Drosophila melanogaster: one gene and its partner. The protein of the gene in region 2 interacts with the protein of the main gene of each other region in a pairwise test. Each region holds a gene or a part of one and is shown on either strand. Other genes may lie near its edges. The genes, in order: CG5577 and Mccc1.

The links.
Region 1: the proteins of Mccc1 (region 2) and CG5577 interact in a two-hybrid assay, tested with the Drosophila melanogaster proteins (one large-scale study listed by BioGRID).

The regions. Positions count from the first base shown.
Region 1 is NT_037436.4:17,838,150-17,843,347, reverse strand, and holds CG5577 (uncharacterized protein), read left to right. Parts: upstream 1-1,920; 5' UTR 1,921-1,964; coding exon 1,965-2,061; intron 2,062-2,624; coding exon 2,625-3,312; intron 3,313-3,365; coding exon 3,366-3,528; 3' UTR 3,529-4,670; downstream 4,671-5,198. Other genes in the region: CG5567 (uncharacterized protein), read left to right, coding at 1-73, 791-1,641; Grd (glycine receptor), read right to left, coding at 4,671-5,198.
Region 2 is NT_033777.3:31,789,790-31,795,664, forward strand, and holds Mccc1 (Methylcrotonoyl-CoA carboxylase 1), read right to left. Parts: upstream 4,119-5,875; 5' UTR 3,830-4,118; coding exon 3,789-3,829; intron 3,682-3,788; coding exon 2,916-3,681; intron 2,862-2,915; coding exon 2,355-2,861; intron 2,296-2,354; coding exon 2,004-2,295; intron 1,949-2,003; coding exon 1,761-1,948; intron 1,697-1,760; coding exon 1,525-1,696; intron 1,468-1,524; coding exon 1,337-1,467; 3' UTR 803-1,336; downstream 1-802. Other genes in the region: Acf (ATP-dependent chromatin assembly factor large subunit), read left to right, coding at 4,579-4,700, 5,193-5,875.

The DNA of each region.
Region 1 (5,198 bases), on a different chromosome or scaffold from region 2:
CTCCTGGAATTATCCTCCGCCAAGGTGACCGAGTGGCTAGCAGGCTTCGACAGTGTAATAACCGACTGCGATGGTAAGTCGGTGGTGGGGATGAGATACTACTAACTCGCACCCACCCAGGATTCCCCCCAGGAAGTTGCGTTACATAAAGATATGTGTATACCACATTCTGCCCAAATACGTCAGCAGCCAATAGTTTCTGTATTGTGGCTGCGTCGTTTATTTCAATGTCAAAGAGTGAAGTGCGTGATATGGCGGGAAGTCGACTTTCGGATGCCCTCATATCTTGTTAATCATCGTTATATTTAGTAAAGAGTAAAGCAGTAAAGAGCCGTTTGATAAATTCCCTAATGCTCATAGTGATGAGCCCTAAGTTTATTAATATTAGACAATCTTATCAATTCAAGGAAATCGTTATTATATACGCAATATCAAAAGTTGTGTTCAACCCCATTATTTATTAATTTTATGCAATAATGCCTTCTTTAATCATAACAGCTTTTATTTCTTTTCGTTTATGTATCTTTGCGAAGTTACCAATTTACTTAATTGGAATTAATTTCAAACTGTCCTCTTTGCCTTTGAATGATTAATTTATCAATTTTAGAAATAAATTACCAACAATATGAGTATACTTTTTGTAGATATTGAGAAATCAATAACGCCCTTTATAAAACTAGCAATGGCATTAATAAAACTAACAACTACAAAGTGAGAACCTATTTAGCACCGTTCTTTTTTTAATTTTAAGAAAATTCTTCTACAATATTAATCCATTTTTTCACATCAGGTGTCCTTTGGATCTATGGCCAGGCCCTGGAGGGCTCTGTGGATGTGATGAACCAGTTGAAGGGTATGGGAAAGTCGATCTACTTTTGCACTAACAACTCGACGAAGACCCGGTCGGAACTTCTCAAGAAAGGCGTCGAACTGGGCTTTCATATCAAGGAGAATGGCATTATATCAACGGCCCATGCCACAGCTGCGTACCTGAAACGACGGAACTTCAGCAAGCGGGTATTTGTGATCGGAAGCGAGGGAATCACCAAGGAACTGGACGCCGTGGGCATTCAGCACACTGAGGTGGGCCCGGAACCCATGAAGGGATCGCTGGCCGAGTTCATGGCACAGCATTTAAAACTGGACACGGACATCGGAGCCGTGGTCGTTGGCTTCGACGAACACTTCAGTTTTCCCAAGATGATGAAGGCCGCTTCCTACCTAAACGACCCGGAGTGTCTGTTCGTGGCTACCAATACGGATGAGCGTTTCCCCATGCCCAATATGATAGTACCAGGCAGCGGGAGCTTCGTGCGGGCCATTCAAACCTGTGCGGAGCGGGATCCTGTAGTGATCGGGAAGCCGAATCCTGCCATTTGTGAGTCTCTGGTCACGGAGAAGAAGATCGATCCATCGAGAACTCTGATGATCGGAGATCGAGCCAATACGGACATACTTCTTGGGTTCAATTGCGGCTTCCAGACCCTGCTTGTAGGTTCCGGAATCCATCAGCTGAAGGACGTGGAGCGTTGGAAGTTGAGCCAGGATCCCGAGGAGAAGAAGCTCATACCAGACGTGTACCTGCCCAAGTTGGGAGATCTGTTGCCGTCGATCGTGAACAGCCTGACGGACTTGAAATGAATCAGTAATCAGTAAATAGTACGGACATGTGTTTGTATAGATTTTACATTTAACTTCAATAGACAGGAAAGATTATTAATACTTAACGCAAATTTATAGTGCAATTTATACCACAGAACAAAGAATATTTAAATAAATTCAAAAGCATTTTGTGAGACGGATGATTTAACCGATATGCCCGACTCAATTTGTTTTTCCGAGCGAGCTTTGTGCGAAAGGGAGATAGCAGATTTTCCCCAATCACCGTGAATCGAAATCAGCCAGCCCGTCGCCGTCGATTTAGTTGAGTCGCAAGCATTTGGCGAAGCGGTCTACGAAGCAAAATGTCCAGAGGCGGTGCTATCGACTTGACCGGCCTATCCGAGGAGCAGGTGAGCGAGTGGCTCCAAAGTTTCGACACGGTTCTCTGCGACGGCGACGGTGAGTCTCAAGGGCGGCTAAGGTGCCACAGAGAGAGGGTTCATTGGGCTTGTGAGTGCTGCTATGGAGCTTTTACCAGAGTTGTCGCTTCACTGAAAAAACAGAGTATAAAATATCGATGGTAATTTACATGGGTAAGGGGAAAAGCTTGGCGATCGCGGTAGCTAAAAGTTTACATTTCATCGGCCTGCTACATCGATTGTTACTGTTATTCATTTTGTAAGTGGATAACTTTAAACGTAAAATCGTTAATAATTAGAAAAAGTTGATAAGGCTTAACGCTGCTGAAATCATTTTACATTTTTAGGAATATATTTATACCTGATCAATAGGAATATGTTTATACCTGAAAATCTCTCTGATCTCTCGCAGATCATTCCAATTTAATGTATAAATTTCCCATGTACTATTGGGCTTACCAAACAGAAATTTCGTTCGTAATTATTTTAAAATAAAGCCAAAACTCGTGTTAATTCCAATATTATTTAGTTACTTTATAAAATATATCTCTCATTTCAAACCTCTTCAAATGACACCAAATCAAATATCCATTAAACGCACAGGCACCATATGGCAGGATGACACGGCCATCGCTGGTGCTCCGGATGTGGTGAATGCCCTGCAGGATCGATTTGACAAAAAAGTTTACCTGATTACCAACAATGGCCTAAAGACGCGACAGGAGCTCTTTGAGCGCTCCCAGCGCCTTGGCTTCCATTTACCCAGCGACCGACACATCATTTCGCCCACGGCGGCCATCGCCGACTATCTGGTTGGGAGTCCGAAGTTCGACAGGACCCGGCACAAGGTCTATGTGGTGGGCAATGCGGCCATTGCGCGGGAATTAAGGCAGCGCGGAATCGACAGCTACGGAGCCGGCGGAACAGATGAACTGCCTCCGGGCGACAAATGGCCGGACTTTGTGACACGCGAGTTTGGGAACCCAGAGGCGGCGAAGGACGTGGGTGCCGTGGTGGTCGGCTGGGATGAGTACTTTAGCTACTGCAAGATGGCGCGCGCCTGTCACATCCTCTGCAGTAATCCCGACGCCGCCTTTTTGGTCACCAACCGGGATGCCGTGCACAAGTATCCATCCTTTTGTATCCCCGGCACTGGGGCCTTTGTGGCCGGAATCGAGGCATGTTCGGAGCGTGAAGCCCTCGAGATGGGCAAGCCAAATCCATTGGTCCTTGAGCCCTTTATCAAGGCCGAGGGACTACGTACCGAGCGAACGCTTATGATTGGTGACTGGTATGCGGGATTAACACATCCTTTCAATCTTTCCTAATGAGTTTCTCCCGTAGCCTCAAAATAGATGTCGGTTTCGCCAGCAATTGTGGCATGCTATCGCTTCTGGTGGGCACGGGTCGTTACAATAATCTCTCGGATGTCCGGCTGGAAAAAGACAGGCTGCCCCAGCCAGACTTTTATCTGCCCCGTCTGGGCGATCTGCTGAACATTTTGTGAGCCATAAATCCATGGGACTCTCGCGCAGCAATCTACTCGTTATCAACTTCTTAATTCGACTTTTATTTGGCCTTAGTTGATGTGTTTACACATAGTTGTACATATTGTATCTGCCGGCAAGTACAATAACATTCTCTGATGGATACTTTTTTTACATATATAGAGTGGTTGAGAAATTGCTGGGTCTGAAAGTTATCCATGAACAAAACTAGCTAATAAATTTTGGAAAGACGACAATGCATATTGCACAAATAAATCACTAACCATTTGCGAATATTCATTTTTATGTCCGTCCCCAAATAATTTTCAGGCCCAATAACTTTTCTTTGAATTAACAATATAGGCTGAGTGACTTATTAAAATACTAGCTTAACCTTCTATTACTTGCCGGGTCAGAAAAGCAGAGACGGCAATTTCTTACTCGTTCCTATATCTTGGTGATCCCATGTAAAAGTTGTAATTTGCAATGAACTAAACAAATTGCTTAAATAAGTGCAAGTTCCTTGTGCTGTGACTTGCAAATCAATTATCAATCAACGTTAACTATTTAAGACACACACATAATCGAAACTATACAACTTATTGGTTAGCTGTACAACAAATTTACAGGACACCCATCGATGTGAGCTGCTAATTGTCAAAACAAAGCAAGCAAGTATCACAGAAGTTATATTTTTGGCGGTTTGCTTCCGTGTAAAATTGAAACAATCAAACACCTGTTTTCGAAAGTTTTTTACGATATTTTGACTGTTGAAGCACGACATTTTCGTGAGTGTCCGTTTTAACAAGTCCTCTGATATGTTAGAGTTGAGTTCTGTTTTCTGTACTTTAGCAATTTAGCGCGAAAAGAAATCCCATAAAGCGGTGTCACATTTGGTAGCAAATCAGAATAAGAGCGTAACTGAATCTGAAAAGTTAAACCCATCCCCTGCTTTTCCCAATCCCCCAACTGATTTTCCCCCCACGCCTTGTCTTAAGCTGATTTTAAACGATGCATGTGCAAAGATTTTATAGAATCGCAGTGTTTAAATTCCGCGACTCTGCGTATGCATCGCTTTCCATCAGCTTTAGTTGTAAGTTTGCCGCCGGCGATCGCTTAATGATTTCTTCGAGGACCCTGTCTAAATTGCTAAAAGGTAACATCAGGTGCTCGCATCCGGCGTGTTGGCCAAAATCCTTGAGCTCCTCGACAAGTAGCCGTACCAGTAGAACACGTTGATAAGGATGAATAGCAGTGGGAAGACGATCCTCGAGGCGCGATCGATCTTCGACACGGAATTGTACTGTGGCGTTCGTTTGCCCTTCCTTCGGGCCTCCATCTCCTCGCGTCGATAGTAGGACATCCTGCGGCGACCTCCAGTTGGAGGACTAATCCGAGCAGCCTGTGCAGCAGCTTGTGCCGCCGCAGCTGCCGCAGACGTGGTCGGTGCTTCGTTGGCCCTTAGCTGCGTCTGCTCGTCATCCTCATCCTCGTCGGAGTCGGCACGTGGCGGCTTTCTTCTTCGCCGCCAGTCGAAGAGACCCAGAAGCTTCATACTCCACAGACCATGACGCCTGTTCCGGGGCCTCCGATTCCTGGAGGTTAGCATGCCCAGCCGAGTGGGAGGCGGCGGCATGCTAATAGCGCACATGGACAGCGGAATGACTTCGTAGATCTTGGACTCTGTGCT
Region 2 (5,875 bases):
CCTGACAATGAGAACGGTGTGGACAGGTGTTTACTAGTGGGGATCCCCACCGTCGAAAACGAGACTTAATGGGTAAATACGAGAAAAAGAGCAGAATCCGTAGATATTAACAAAGGATACTTGGTTGGAGCGATGCGAGTCAAGGAACGAAAGTCTGGTAGATAAGGAGATCAAAACCAGCAAAGGTGTTTATTAGCTATCGAACTTTATAATTACCTTTAATAATAAACAAATACACCAATTTTTTGTTTGGTTTTCTGTTTTGTTAAGCATTAAAAGGGATATGTTTATTTCTCCTCATTGTAAATGTGTCCCTTTTAATGTATAAATCTAAAAAAAAAAAATGAAAAGAACACCTTAAACTAACTCCCACAACACTACACAGAAACGGACGTAGGCAGAAAGAAACACACTCATAATCTATAAGAAGCGTTAAGTTGCACGTTTACAGTACCATATAATTGTATTTATATAGTATATAAATGATGTATTACGTATTGAAGCCGAGCAACACTTACTATACTAACCGAAAAAAATCAAAATGATGGACACTTAGATACGATACTAGGAAAAACTAATCGAAACGAATCGGCTGATTGTAAGAATTAGGGCAAGAAACCAAATTGCATCTTTAGTACTCAGTACTCGCCTCTGAAACTGTTTCCATAATCATATTTCAACGGCATGAACCGATTTAATGGGATGCTAATTAAAACAAAACAGTATAAACTCAAGAGCAGAATGGACTAAAGCAACACGAGCATAAAGAAAACTTGATTATGGTCATAAGTACATATATTTTAAATGATTAGTGTTTTGTATTAAGTGAAATTTGTTAAACATTTATTACATTTTTATGTTCTAAGTTGCGAAATAAATGCGAAGAGAAAGCAAAGCGCGCAATGTCATTCATGCCTTCTCTCAGTTTCCATTTCCGTTTCCGTTTACCGACAGCAATCAACTCAAAGTCTAACTTTTATGCCGCGAGATTTTGTACGGAACTCAATTTTAAATTATGTATTCACAAAGATGTATTACATTTGGGAAATTAATGTTCGTTACATCCATTAAATTCAGCGAAAATGAAACAAATAAATCACTTTTTAAAACCATTACTTTTGGCTTCCTTACTTACCCACAAAAACAATTCATGGCTAACAGTTTTAGACGTTTAATGGGTTAAAGATAAGAAAATTCCATTAGATGGACACTTTTTTACTTAACGATAATAAATGCACTTCGTGATCCCTGAACCAAAAGCAGGCTAGTTAATATTTAAAATATAATTTTGTTTGTAAATGCAACAACTCTCTGGTACGTTTCGAAACATATTCCGTTACTTTTCTACTTCCTCGTCGACGAATGTAATCACGGCCGCTCCCTTAGCAACGTTATCGCCCGCGGCTCCTCCAATAGACTTAATGGTGGCGTCCTTTGGAGCTTTTAGAATGTGTTCCATTTTCATGGCTAAAATGCAAAACTGTTTTTAAAACTATGTATAATCTAAATTTATATTTTTTTTACCAATAAGCACTGCCAAGTTTTCGCCCTTCTTGACCTTGTCACCGGGCTTTACCAGCACCTTCTCTAAAATCCCGGGCATGGGAGCCACTATGCGAGACCCAACTGCACCCAATTGATCGCCCTGGGCACTTAAGAATTTCGGCTGTCCCACCTCAAAATCGACCTTGCCACTCTGGAAAAGGGAATCAATTAAATACAAAATACAAAATGTTATCAATTGAAAAGTAGATTCTTACTTCCGAAAACAAAGAGACACTAGTGCCATCAATACTAGCATTATATGTGGTGACGTTGCTATTGATATTGGCACGAATTTTTAGACGACTTCCATCCTGAACTCTTTCGACCTTTGCATCCTGCCAGTCGCCATTATCCACCTGAATTTGCATATCCTCGCCATCAAACTTGACAGCCACAGAATAGACTGAAAGATTAAATAAGCTTACCAATTTGATTTTAAATTTATATATGTGGTTTACCCTTCTCATTGGCTTTCAAGTCATATCTGCGAACCAAAGAGTAATTCAGACGAGCGTTAGGGGTGGCAACAAATGGATCCTGATCTTTGTTTCCGTTCCTAAAGGCTGCCTGCAACTCGTTTAAGACTAGCGCCAAAGCAGCTTGGCTGACTTGCTGCGGACTGATGATAATTGGCGGAAATAGAGTATCGAACTGCTCATCGATAAAGCCAGTGTGCACATTGGCCAGCTGAAACTCAGGATGCGACGCAAGGTCGATGAGGAAATTAATGTTAGTGTCCAGACCAGATATCTAAAATTGGTTTACCTTTAGGGAAATGTCTTAAAGGTACAAATTTTTAATGTTCTCACATGATATTCACCCAGGCGGGCAACCAATGAGTTAAGCGCTTGTGTGCGGTTTTCGCCCCAAACGACTAGCTTGGCAATCATGGGGTCGTAGTGCACAGACACCTCATCTCCTTCTCGGACACCCGTCTCCACGCGAACGTTGTTTGATGGTTGGGGAGTAGACAAATATCGCAGGGGTCCGGCTCCGGGCAGAAAGCCTCCGCGAGGATTTTCTGCATAAATGCGAGCTTCAAATGCGTGGCCACGCCGCGTAATCTCAGATTGCTTCAGGGGTAATGGCTCACCGGCGGCAATGCGAATCTGCCATTCAACCAAATCGGTGCCCGTAATCATTTCCGTTATAGGATGCTCCACCTGCAGGCGGGTATTCATTTCCATGAAGTGGAAAGAGAGATCTTCTTTGTCTAGAATGAACTCCACGGTGCCAGCTCCTACGTAGCCCACAGCTTTCGCTGCACGAACAGCAGCCTCGCCCAGCTCACGACGCAAATCTTCCGACAAACCTGGCTGTTGTATAAATGAGCATTATTTTTAAAATAGCCGAAGCTCTTGTGCACTTACAGCTGGCGCCTCTTCAATAATCTTTTGATGACGTCTTTGCACGGAGCAATCTCTTTCCCACAGATAGACAGCATCACCATACTGATCCGCAAATACTTGAACCTCTACGTGGCGTGGAGATCGGACGTACCGCTCCAGAAGCACAGAGCTGTCGCCAAACGACTTCTCGGACTCGGTGCGAGCTGAGTTCAGAGCGGTGAGGAAGTCGTCCGGTTTTTCTGCGATTCTCATGCCTTTGCCTCCGCCGCCGCGGACGGCTTTAATCATCAAGGGAAAGCCAATTTTGTCGGCTTCTCGCTGCAAACACTCATCTGACTGATCATCGCCATGGTATCCATTGATGATCGGCACCCCAGCAGCGGCCATTATGGCCTTGCTGGTGCTCTTAATCCCCATGTCCCGGATGGCGGAACTGGGCGGACCCATGAAGATGATGCCCTCACGCTGGCACAACTCGGCAAACTCGACGGACTCGGAGAGGAAGCCGTAGCCTGGGTGGATGGCCTGGGCGCCCGAACGCTTGGCTATGTCCAGGATGCGTTCACCGCGAAGATAGGAAGCCGAGGAGGCAGCTTCCCCCACGCGGTACGACTCGTCTGCCAACTGCGTGTGCATGCTCTTCTCGTCCGGATCCGAGAACACGGCCACGGTACGAACTCCCAGCTTGCGTGCGGTTCGAATCACCCTGCATGCGATCTCACCACGATTTGAAATAAGGATCTTGCTGATAGGCCGAACTTTTGGGCTGGCTTCTGTTGCAAAGCACCTGCGTCAAGCCAAAACAAATTAGCAAGGTTTATGTAATCGTCAAGAACGAAATTAAGTCTTTTGATTTAGCGGCCTTAACAAAGAACTGCCGATCATTTCCCTCACCTGGCGTTTGCGCCGAAGTTTCGCAGCAGTCTGGCGTACATTATTAGTAGAATTAATTGTAAGAATAAATAACAAATATACTTTATTCAGAGCAAGTGTGCGATCGTCGCTTATCACAGCTGGAAAAACGCACACGCACAAGATCGCAATTGAGATGGGCGACTCACGAGATGCATGGTTGAAAATATTAATGTTTCATATATCTTTTGGGGATTATCATATATCATCAATATCTTTTAGGGAAATTGATATTACGTATATTGTGTTTTTTTTAAGTTGCAACCCATAAAAAATATTACCGTTATATTATTCTGGACTATTTATCGAACTGTTGACATCCATCCGACCGCGTCCTTACGGTTTTCTGCGCTCGTGAAGTTCGGTAACATTGTTCGCAGAAACTCGATAACCGATAGTTTAACGTCGAAGAGCGATAGGCCCCAAAATATGCGCGTGAAAATAGATTGTGCGCTATAAAATAAACGGATTTAGGTAGTTGGTGTTGAGGAAGCCAGCCACAAACATAGTAGAAATTGTCGGAAAAGTGTCGCCCGCCGACAGCTTGTATAATTGCGTCGGAAGTCAACGCGCGTATCGCTGGAAAACCGTTTGCATCGAAAGCCCCTCCGGAAAGGCGTGAAAAGTTGGGCGCCTTTTGCGCTTGTCGCTTGGCGTTGTAAAATTTATCAGTTGCTCCGCGGTTGTTTTTATTGTGAACTGTTAAACGTGCACTTCGAAGGACTGCCATTTAAACTTAAGGACATTCAAGAGCAAAAGGAAAACACCAAACATGCCCATTTGCAAGCGGGAAGGATTCGACCTGAATCAGAAGGAGGGCAAGAACGAAACATTCCACGACAACGACCAGGTCTTCTGCTGCTACATCACTAAGCGCATTTTTCGCGACTATGAGTAAGTGCATCCTGCTACCATTCCTGCAACTGCCCCTTCCCTTCTCCTGCCATTAGGTGGACGCTGCGCTAAAGTATACAACAAAAGCGACGCTGCAAAAGCATTTGCACACGATGTACCGTACATCACCATTCAGTGTGTGTGTGTGTGTGTTCGCAGGGGTGCATAAGTGTGCGAGTCTCGTGGGCCAAAGGCGAAAAAAACGCTGTTCGGTGGCGGGAAGAAATTACAGCTGCCGCCGCACAGCTGCTCGCCGCGGAGTTGCCACCTGGTGCCAAAGCGCGCGCTCTTGAATTTGGAATTTGTTGACCCAATTCGACTTATATGATCCTTCTAGATATTTTTAAGATCAGCAATTATTTAAGAGGCTGGGTAGCGCGAAACTATTTTAATAAATAGCAAACATACTAAATATGTTTTACTCTGACAAGCTTCAATTATATCAAAATAAATTGACCTTAAAACGCTGATCGATTAAATTTATTTATCCAGACACTACTTCCGGCACGTGATGGTGATCAACTCAACGGTGTGGCAGTGCGAGGCCACCGGCAAGGAGAACCTCACCTACGAGGAGGCGGTCAAAAGTGAGCGGGCGGCTCGCAAGAAGATGGAGCAGTTCAAACAGAGCCTTCGGGCACCCGTCCTTCTGGTTGTGGAGCACGCCCAACAGTCGGCGGTCAACACCTTGAACATGATAGTGGCCAAGTTTCTGCGCAAGCGCTACTTTATCGGCGAGGAGGTGTCGGTGCAAGCTAAGAAGAACGCCACGTACACGGTGTTGGGTGTCAAGTTGGACAAAAATATGCCGGAACCACTCAATGGTATCTATGAGGACACGGACAACCTGGTCTACAGACTACGACCAAACAAGGGCGATCCCAGTGCAGAGCTTGATCTGCCCTTTAGGCAATTACGTCGCTCGCGCATGGAGTTTAACCTGGAAAACCTGAGTATGTTTATAAAGAGCAATGTATCGCGGGTGGATGGACTTCTTCGACCCAAGCCAGAGGCATACAAGCAGTACGTGACGGACCCTGGCGTAAACTTCTCCACAATTTTCATTGGCAAAATGCCACGTTATTCTCCCGCTAAGATTAAAAAACCTGACGGCAAGAAGCAATCCACTCTCAACAAATATATTGTCGCCGGTGAAGCAACGGCTGCAAAGTCAA